Linked DNA regions of Canis lupus familiaris. The protein of the gene in region 1 interacts with the protein of each later gene in a pairwise test. Links are inferred from orthologs where the notes say so. Each region holds a gene or a part of one and is shown on either strand. Other genes may lie near its edges. The genes, in order: CPSF7 and SNRNP25.

What was found.
Region 2: the proteins of CPSF7 (region 1) and SNRNP25 interact in binary tests that used the Homo sapiens proteins (3 or more experiments, as listed by UniProt). The two-hybrid records come from large-scale screens. The link is inferred for Canis lupus familiaris from reciprocal best matches to the Homo sapiens genes CPSF7 and SNRNP25.

The regions. Positions count from the first base shown.
Region 1 is NC_049239.1:55,600,855-55,604,659, reverse strand, and holds part of CPSF7 (cleavage and polyadenylation specificity factor subunit 7), read right to left. Parts: intron 1,516-3,805; coding exon 1,297-1,515; intron 464-1,296; coding exon 360-463; intron 126-359; exon of another isoform or gene 1-125.
Region 2 is NC_049227.1:40,884,580-40,889,040, forward strand, and holds SNRNP25 (U11/U12 small nuclear ribonucleoprotein 25 kDa protein), read right to left. Parts: upstream 2,985-4,461; 5' UTR 2,818-2,984; coding exon 2,776-2,817; intron 2,104-2,775; coding exon 2,013-2,103; coding exon of another isoform or gene 1,919-2,012; intron 1,813-1,918; coding exon of another isoform or gene 1,774-1,812; coding exon 1,668-1,773; intron 1,134-1,667; coding exon 1,059-1,133; intron 587-1,058; coding exon 529-586; 3' UTR 190-528; downstream 1-189. Other genes in the region: POLR3K (DNA-directed RNA polymerase III subunit RPC10), read left to right, coding at 3,183-3,293, 4,040-4,127.

The DNA.
Region 1 (3,805 bases):
AATTAAAAATGAGTGAGATCTATTAGCCAATCAAAAGAACAAAGAAACTCTTCCACTTTTAGTGAAAGCTGGTAAAATAAAAGATATCTTGCTAATAACATACACAAAACTACCATCAATAAAAAGGCGTCAGTCTATAATTGTCCTATTTATTTGGATCAGAAATCAGCTCTTTTTGCCCCTCAACGGATGGACATTGTTACATTGCAGCAAGGTCCCCATTCTAAGGCAGTCTGTCAAAACCAAGGCAATAACCTGGGCCAGGGGTCAGAGGGATTAAAATCCAGGGCCAAAATACAGTGTAGATCTTTATCCTAATGATGACAAACTAAAAGGGGCTTCTCAAATCCAGACCTCACCCTTTGGACTGGCCATTTGCTCGATTCTCAGCAAATTTCAACTCCACCACATCATAGACTCCTATAGAGCGAATAACCTGGATCAGCTGCTGGTCTGTGGTCCACTGGGGCCGGCAAGATGGAAAAGGAAGAAATGTCAAGAGCTACACCCCCTCCCCACCTAGAATGTCCCAAACCCTTTCCCCAAACCTAGGATTCTAGTCACAATCATGACCTCCCACAGAAACCCAAGAGCCCACCAACATTTCAATTATTGCAGGCTTTTATTATCCTCACCCATCCAGCATTCCAAAACCTCCCACCATTCCCCAAACCCCATCTCTTGAGATTAAGAAAATTAAAACCTATTTTAACTTTGACTGCCATTTGGGCTGGCTGGTCATCAGTTCAAACAATGATTACTAGCAGCTTTTAATTACAGACCTGACAGGCTACAGTTTAACCAATGTCAGGAACGTCCCCCTCAGTATGCATTTCCTAATTTGGACCCTCCCTCTACCAGCCCCACAACATGTCTATCACACAAGAATTTTTGCATAAGAATCACCACCTACCCTGAGTGTACTAGAACTATCAAGGTCTTTGATCCTGTCACCAATCGTTATCAAAGAACCAATGAATGACCCCACCAAGAGTTCAAGCTGTTCACTCTGAAATCTCATCCCACAGATGACCCTGCTAGACATAAAGCCCCAGGGTCAGGGGCATTAACAAGATGGCAGAAAAAGCAACTACCCACTTAATCATTGCTTTCTTCGGCACCAGTACGTCCTCAGGATAGTTCTCTTTCAGAGATCAATCCAACCTGATCCCAGGAAAAAGAAATCCAACCCCATCAGAGCACAAAACAGTGCAACAGTGGTTTTTGAAAATGCCATCACCTCCCAGCACTCTCCCTCCAGCCTACCCAGGAAGCTTTTTGGTTCCCCATGCTCACCCAGGAGAAGCTGCCCACGTATACAGCAGCTCGCCTATTGCGGAGGCCGCTGTACGTGTACAGGATCGCAGGGCTCTTGTTATTGGGCTTGGGAGATGGCTCTTGGCGTACAGGAGGAGGTGGCTCAGTGCTGCTGCTTCTGTCATCTGAGGGCTGTGAAGTGGCTGTCAACACGTCATCATACAGGTCAATCTGATCTGTATTGTTGAACTCTGGGTCCTAAGAGATGAAGGGTTGGCAAAGGTGGGTTTGCAGACCTCCCAATGGGTTCATTCTATATCATTCCCGTTTACTTAGAATCCACACTCAAATATTTCGTAAAATGTACAAAACTTTCCTGTCGTACCCTAGGAAGCTAGTAAGAATAATTTCCTGGTAAGAATACTTTTTCACGTAAAACCACTTCACTGAATTATGCTTCTGTAGCTTTTTCTCTCAAGACCCTCTTAGAAGTCTGCAATGCTTCCAGCTTCAGCCAACTGTGAGAATCAAAAGGTACATGATGATTACAAAAGCAAACTAAGAACACATAAAGATGCACCTGCTACTATTGTCAATGAGGTTAGCTTCTAAAGACCACATCTAAGATACAGTAATGAAAAACTTATTTTCCACAACTTGTACTATTTCCAAAATCACGAGTTACACAAATCTTCTTACTCTATTTAATAAGAAAAAGAGTAAAGAGTATATTCATTTAAAAATAAAAGGGAAAGGCATATTCAAGTGGGAACCCAGAATGCAAGAAATAACTGAAATTACTGGTTTACACTTTTATATTTACACTAATGATTCAGAGAAGCTCTAAAACTCATAGTATGCAATCCTATCTTTCTATGAAGTATCCATCGAAGAAACATTTTTATTTTTGTTATTTATAAAGATTTTAATTTATTTATTCATGAGAGACATAGAGAGAGGCAGAGACATAGCCAGAGGGAGAAGCAGGCTCCATGCAAGGAGCCCGATAGGAGACTCGATCCTGGAACCCCAGGATCATGCCCTAAGCCAAAGGCAAATGCTGCTGAGCCACCTAGGCGTTCCAAAGAAACATTTTTAAAAGAAAGGAAAGGAAAGGAAAGGAATAACTCTGGGAGATTTTCCCTTAATATTTTTTAGGTGACAATGTAAATCCAATACATGATTGTGACACTTTTATAAGAGATTTCTGGGAGCAATGCCAGAGATGTTTAATGATACCACAAAAACAGTGAAGTTCTCTCAAAATATTAAGGGTCAGAAAACAGGACAGGCACCCACATCATAACCTATGTCACAGTAAGCATTTACAACATGAACATGTACTCCGAAACACAATGCAAAATATACTTTTATCATGTGTTATGTTTCCACATTTATTATTGTTATGGAATAAATGTTTGTCCCCCCCCAAAATGCAGATGTTGAAACCCTACTCTCCACTGTGCTGTATCAGGAGGTGGGGTCTTTGGGAAGAAATTACAATTAGACCAGGCTTTAAGGATGGAACCCTACTGAACAGGATTAGTGCCCATATAAGAGCCAAGAGAGTGACTGACTGCATGCTCTGCTCTGCATCCCATGAGGATACAAACTGGCATTCTGCAACCTAGAAAAGGGCCCTCACCAGAAGCCAATCTGACTTCAGCCTTCTAATCATCTCCAGAACCGTGAGAAATCTGCTGTTGTTTATAAGCCACTCAGTTTTTGGTATTTTGTTATAGGAGTCAAGTTAACACTATATACCTCGAATCTTAAAACCACGAAAACCACCAGGAGACCTTAATGTTTCAGATTTGCAATGTCAGTTATTTCAGAGAGCTCTTTTTTATGTTAAGGATCAGAAAGTATTTTTTCAGATAACATTCTAGAACACCCTAACAGTGCTAAAGATGATGCTGCCAAAATGACAGAAAGAAGTTCAAAGTGTTTTAGGGAAACTACAGCTCATTCATGACATTGCTTTTAAAAAAATAAAGGAAGAACCTATGTTAAGTAACTTTTCTAGTTCCCTGAAGAAACAGAGCACTTCCTCTAATGCAACTCAGGACAGGAAGCTCTAATAGCTTTCTTTGTTCAAGAACTGCAGATTCTAAGGTGAGACTAGAGAGGGAACTCACTACAAAATTCATTCCTAGATCTACATACCATCACATACTTCTGGAAACAATCTTTTAGTTTCTCAGTTTATCTGAAGTACAATAGAAGAACATGCACACAAAGCATTATTGGGCTGTTCCGATACTGAATAAAAAAGGATTCTACTTCCTGAGGCATGAAAATAATTTCAAATACTACAAATACTCTAAAAAAATCCCACAGAGAGTTTATACCTTGTAAAAATATTGGAGAGAATTGCAAAAGAGAGTAACCTTTTTAGAGGGAACTTAAGAAAAGGGGGGTGCCCAGGTGGCTCAGTTGGTTAAAAGTTTGACTCCTGGTTTCTGCTTAGGTTGTGATCTCAGGGTTGTGGGACTGAGCCCCAAGTCAGGCTCTATGCTCAGCGTGGAGTCTGCTTGAGATTCTCTCC
Region 2 (4,461 bases), on another chromosome or scaffold:
AGAGGCACTCTGACCCCAGCCCTCCCTCTCCAGCCAGCAGCTCCAAGTTCTGCCCCAGGCCACCTCCCTTTCCAGGAGCCAAAGGGTGAAGTGTGTCACTATAGGTGAACCCTGTGAGCCACGGCTGGAGACCTCAGCCACATGCTGGTGGGTGCACGGCCCCCGTTTCTGCAGAAGCACACACAGAAAGCCGGCCATCTGCTTTTATTTCCCCTTGCTGTAGAAATCACAGTAAAAAGGTTTTATCGCGAGGGGATGATTTGGCCACAGGGCTCAAGTGGAAGCATTCTGGACCTTAGGACTCACCTGCACCATCCTCTGCCCTTGCCTCCCCTCTGTGCCTGGGCAGCAGCGGTCCCTCCTGCTCCAGGAACTGTGGCTTTTTGACTTTTCAAACTAAGAAGCAAACGATTTATTTTGTATACAGGGCCAGGTCCATCTGCCATGTGATTAGGATGTTTGGACCTAGGGCTTAGCTCTGTTCCAGCTGGGTGCAGGCCACCAGCACCTAATTGTCTTTCTGGAGGTTCATTTCTGCCTCAGCTTTTTGATGAAGGACACCTCATCCCGGTTCCGGATACCGTAACTAGAAAAGAAGAAGAGCTCTAGTGTGTGATTTGCAGAAGGTATGTGTGGAGCCTCACCTGAGACTTGGGAGGGTATTAAAAAAAAAAAAAAAAAAGGTAGGAACAGCTTGTGTCTGGGAAGGTGAGGAGTGGCAGTGGCCATCGTCTCACGGACCTAGGTCGTGCCAGCAGGCAGCCTCTCACCTTCCCACACACTGCCCTCCTCTGGCTCTAGGAAGCCCCGCTCTACCACTGGTGAGCAGTACTCACACTGCCCCCATGCCTCCCATTCCAGTAGGGAGAGCCCTCAGGAACCTCCCTGCAGGAGGGTGTTGGTTGAGCCAGGGACTCTCTTGGTCTTGCAAATTCTCCAGTGATTGATTTAAGACTCCTCCTCCCTCGGAAGAGGCCCCAGTCTTCTGGCAGAGCCTGGGTACTAAAGGGCAACAGACCAGGTGCCTCTCTGCAGCTCAAAATGTGGTGTGAACTTACTCTCGAAGCTTCTTCCTGTCCTCTGTGAGCTTCTCTCCTGCAGAGGTCAGGTAGTAGGTCCTCCACACATAGGACCTGCAAAATCCAGATGAGGATCTGGGTAAACCACAAGCAGGGTGATTGGGCAGCTGGGACGCAGCAGCTGTGTGTGAGATGGGCTCGGGATGCTCAGCTCTGGGGGGCCCAGGGCAGGCAGCCTCTTCTTGGCTTGTCCTGTACCCTGTACACACCAGGCCCGAGGTAGCTCGAAAGAGGCACCGCTCTGAAAGAGCCGTGTGGGGTGGCTGGGGGCCAAACACACCTTCCTAATGAAATAGGCTACAGCACGGAGACAGAGACGACCCATGCTGCAGGAGTGAGGAGACCACCCAGGGGAAGATGGGGTAGGGCCGCTGGCAGCTGCACCGTCTGTAACCAAGGAGACCACTTACGCTGGAAATGCTCCAAGGTGCCCCCATTTAAGAAGCCCAGTTGCCTGGGTGAGGTGATGTAGATGAAAGAGAACTGAGGCAGGACTCCCAGGCACCGTGGCACCCACCGCGCCGGGACGCTCAGGACAGGGAACTCCTCGGTGCTCTGTGGCACACATGCAACAGTGGCTCCACTTACCAGCTGATGTGCTGAATGCCCCCTTCACGCTCCTGCCTGAGCTGCACGTATCTCTGAATGGCCTTCTTCAGGTCCAGGACTGTGGCGTTCTGCACCACAACCACAGCTGCGGGAGAAGAGCCATGTTAGGATCCACAGCCACAGCCTAGGACGGCAGGAAAGGAACCAGAAGCTCTGTCCAGACTGTTTTGGACGGAGGCTCAAATTCAGGTGGGGTAGGCTTGTGGTTGCCCCGATGCCCTTCGACGTACATGGCTCTTGAGTTTCCCCTGAGCAGCCATGGCAGCGTCTTGTCTGCGTGACAGCTTGGACTGCAGGGTCCGCAGGGAGAGGGCGAGCACTTACGCATTATCTCTCCATCCATCTTGCACACGCGGACTGTCATCGCTTGGCCATATTCTAGTGCTATCTGGGAATTGACTTCTTCCAAAGTAACCTGCAGAAAGACCAATGGTGGAGGTGGGAGCCTTGGCTGCCTTTGCTATCCCAAACCACAAGACAAGACAAGCGGATAGCATCGGAAAAGCAGTGCCGTATCTTACGAAAGACGAGAGACAAGATTTCTTACTTCTATGCTAGGGTTTCCCGGTTGCACCTACATTTTAAAAGTGTTTAATGTGCAAAGTGCATTAAAGCTCAGGAAAAGAGGAGCGCTGAAACAGGAGAGGGTGAGCGCCAGATCTGGGCTCTGGGGCTGGGAAGGAGGAGGCGCGGTCAGTCCGGGATCCAGGGCGACACCGGGCGGGGGGGGGAGGGGAGGCCGGTGTGCGAGGGTGACCGGGGCGCCCAACCCAGGAGTGAACGTCCTCGGGCGGGGCGCGAATCTCGATGCGGAGTCCCGGGGTGGAGCCGTTCTCCCCACTTGAGCCTCAACTACGGAAACGACCTTAGAACCTGCACCTGCAGCGCAGCCGCGCCCGGGGCGCCCGGGGCGCCGTCGGGGTCCGCCTTGGGACCGGACGACCGTCCGCCTGTCCCTGTCCCCTGCTGCCCCCGCTCGTGCTCGGGTCAGTGAGGTCCTTAAAGGACACGGGAGAATCGAGGCCCGCCGCATCGTCACCTCTGGCGCCCACAGGGGGAGGTCAGGCACCGAGGTCCCGCCGCGCACCTGGATCGGGAGGTCGCAGAGCAGCGGGTCCTGCACCACCATGGCGAGCCCCTCCTGGAACACGTCCACCGCCTCGGAGTGCGGCAGCGCCTCCTCTTCATCCTCCTCGGCCTCGGGCGCCTCGGGCCGCGCCGCCGCCGCCTCCGCCTCGGCCTCGGCCTCCGCCGGCTCCAGGGCGCCCGCCCAGCCCCGCGCTCCGACCGCGCCGCCGCCGCTTCCGGCCGCGAGGGGCGGGGCTGCCACGGGGACCGATGGGAGGCTCGAGGCGGCCTGCCGCAGGGGCTGCTGGGAGCGCCAACCCGGCCCGGCCATTGGGGCGGCGGCGGCCCGGGCCAATGGGAGCTCGCGACGGGCCCGACGCCGGCGCCCCGCGGCCGCAGGGGCTGCCGGGAGCGCGCGGGGCAGCCATGCTGCTCTTCTGTCCGGGCTGCGGGAACGGGCTGATCGTGGAGGAGGGACAGCGCTGCCACCGCTTCGCCTGCAACACCTGCCCCTACGTGCACAACATCACGCGCAAGGTGATCACCCGCCGCCCCCCGCCCAGCAGCCGACGCCCGCCCCGCCGGGGTGCTCCAGCGGCCCCGCCCCCGCCCCCCGCCGTATCGGGAGCGGCCTGGCCTCACCCGGCTCCCGTGGCGGCGTCCCCGGCGGCGGCCCGGGCGGCCTCGTCGGAGCCGTGGCCGGATCAGGCCCGCCCTGTGCGCTGGCGCGGCTGACTGCGGGTCCGGGCCGACGCCGCCAGCCCCCGGGGAGCAGCCCGCGCCGCGCACCGACACGGCCGCCGGGCCTTTGCACGTGCTCCCGCTGCCCTCCCCGCCCCGCCCGCAGCCTCGCCGTGTTTGGGTCGTGCCGAGCAGCGTGGCTCTGGCGGACTCGGGTCACCTGCGGACACGCCTCTACGGGACTTGCGTGCCTGGGGTCGGTGCTGCGGCCCCAACCCGGGCCCTGGACGGAGCCGCGGCGCACCGCCCGCCCCGAGCTGCCCGCGGGAGTTGGGGCCGCCGCCGCGACGCCCGGGACGGAGCCGGGGGCCTGCGCGGAGGGCCCGGGCCGAGCGTGGACGGGGTGGGGTGGGGGGTCCCGGCTGCATCCGCCTCTTGGGCCGGCCCGACGCTGGAGCCCCTGGACCCGGGCCGAGCCCTGCGCCGCGGGTGTAGAGACGCGGCTGCCCAGGATCGTGCAGCCCGCGGGGAGGAGGGCAGTCGGCGGCCGGGTCAGCACCGCGCCCCTACCCGCGGCCTGAACACCTGCCGCCTTTCGCCAGGTCACCAACCGGAAGTACCCGAAGCTGAAAGAAGTGGACGATGTGCTCGGCGGCGCGGCGGCCTGGGAGAACGTGGACTCCACCGCAGGTGAGAGCTGAGGCCGCGCTGCCTTTGAGGAAGGAAGCTCCTAAAAATAGCGTGTGTATTTTCTTCTTTAGTGATTTATTTCTTACACAGGCAATATTGGCATAAACCCCAGAGACGTACAGGTGTGGGTTAGTCTCAAAGCCACAGCCTCTTAACATCGCATGACCTTGGTGGCCTCCCTCCGTTGTGAGAGCGTGAAGGGAGCCCCGCAGCACTTGGCCTCTAGCGTGGTCCTCAAGTGGCGGCTGTGCGGGGAGCAACCGATGGCAGTAATGAAAGTCGGAGCCTAAGGAAGAGTATATGGTCCATTTGTTCAGTTGTGGATCTTTTTTAA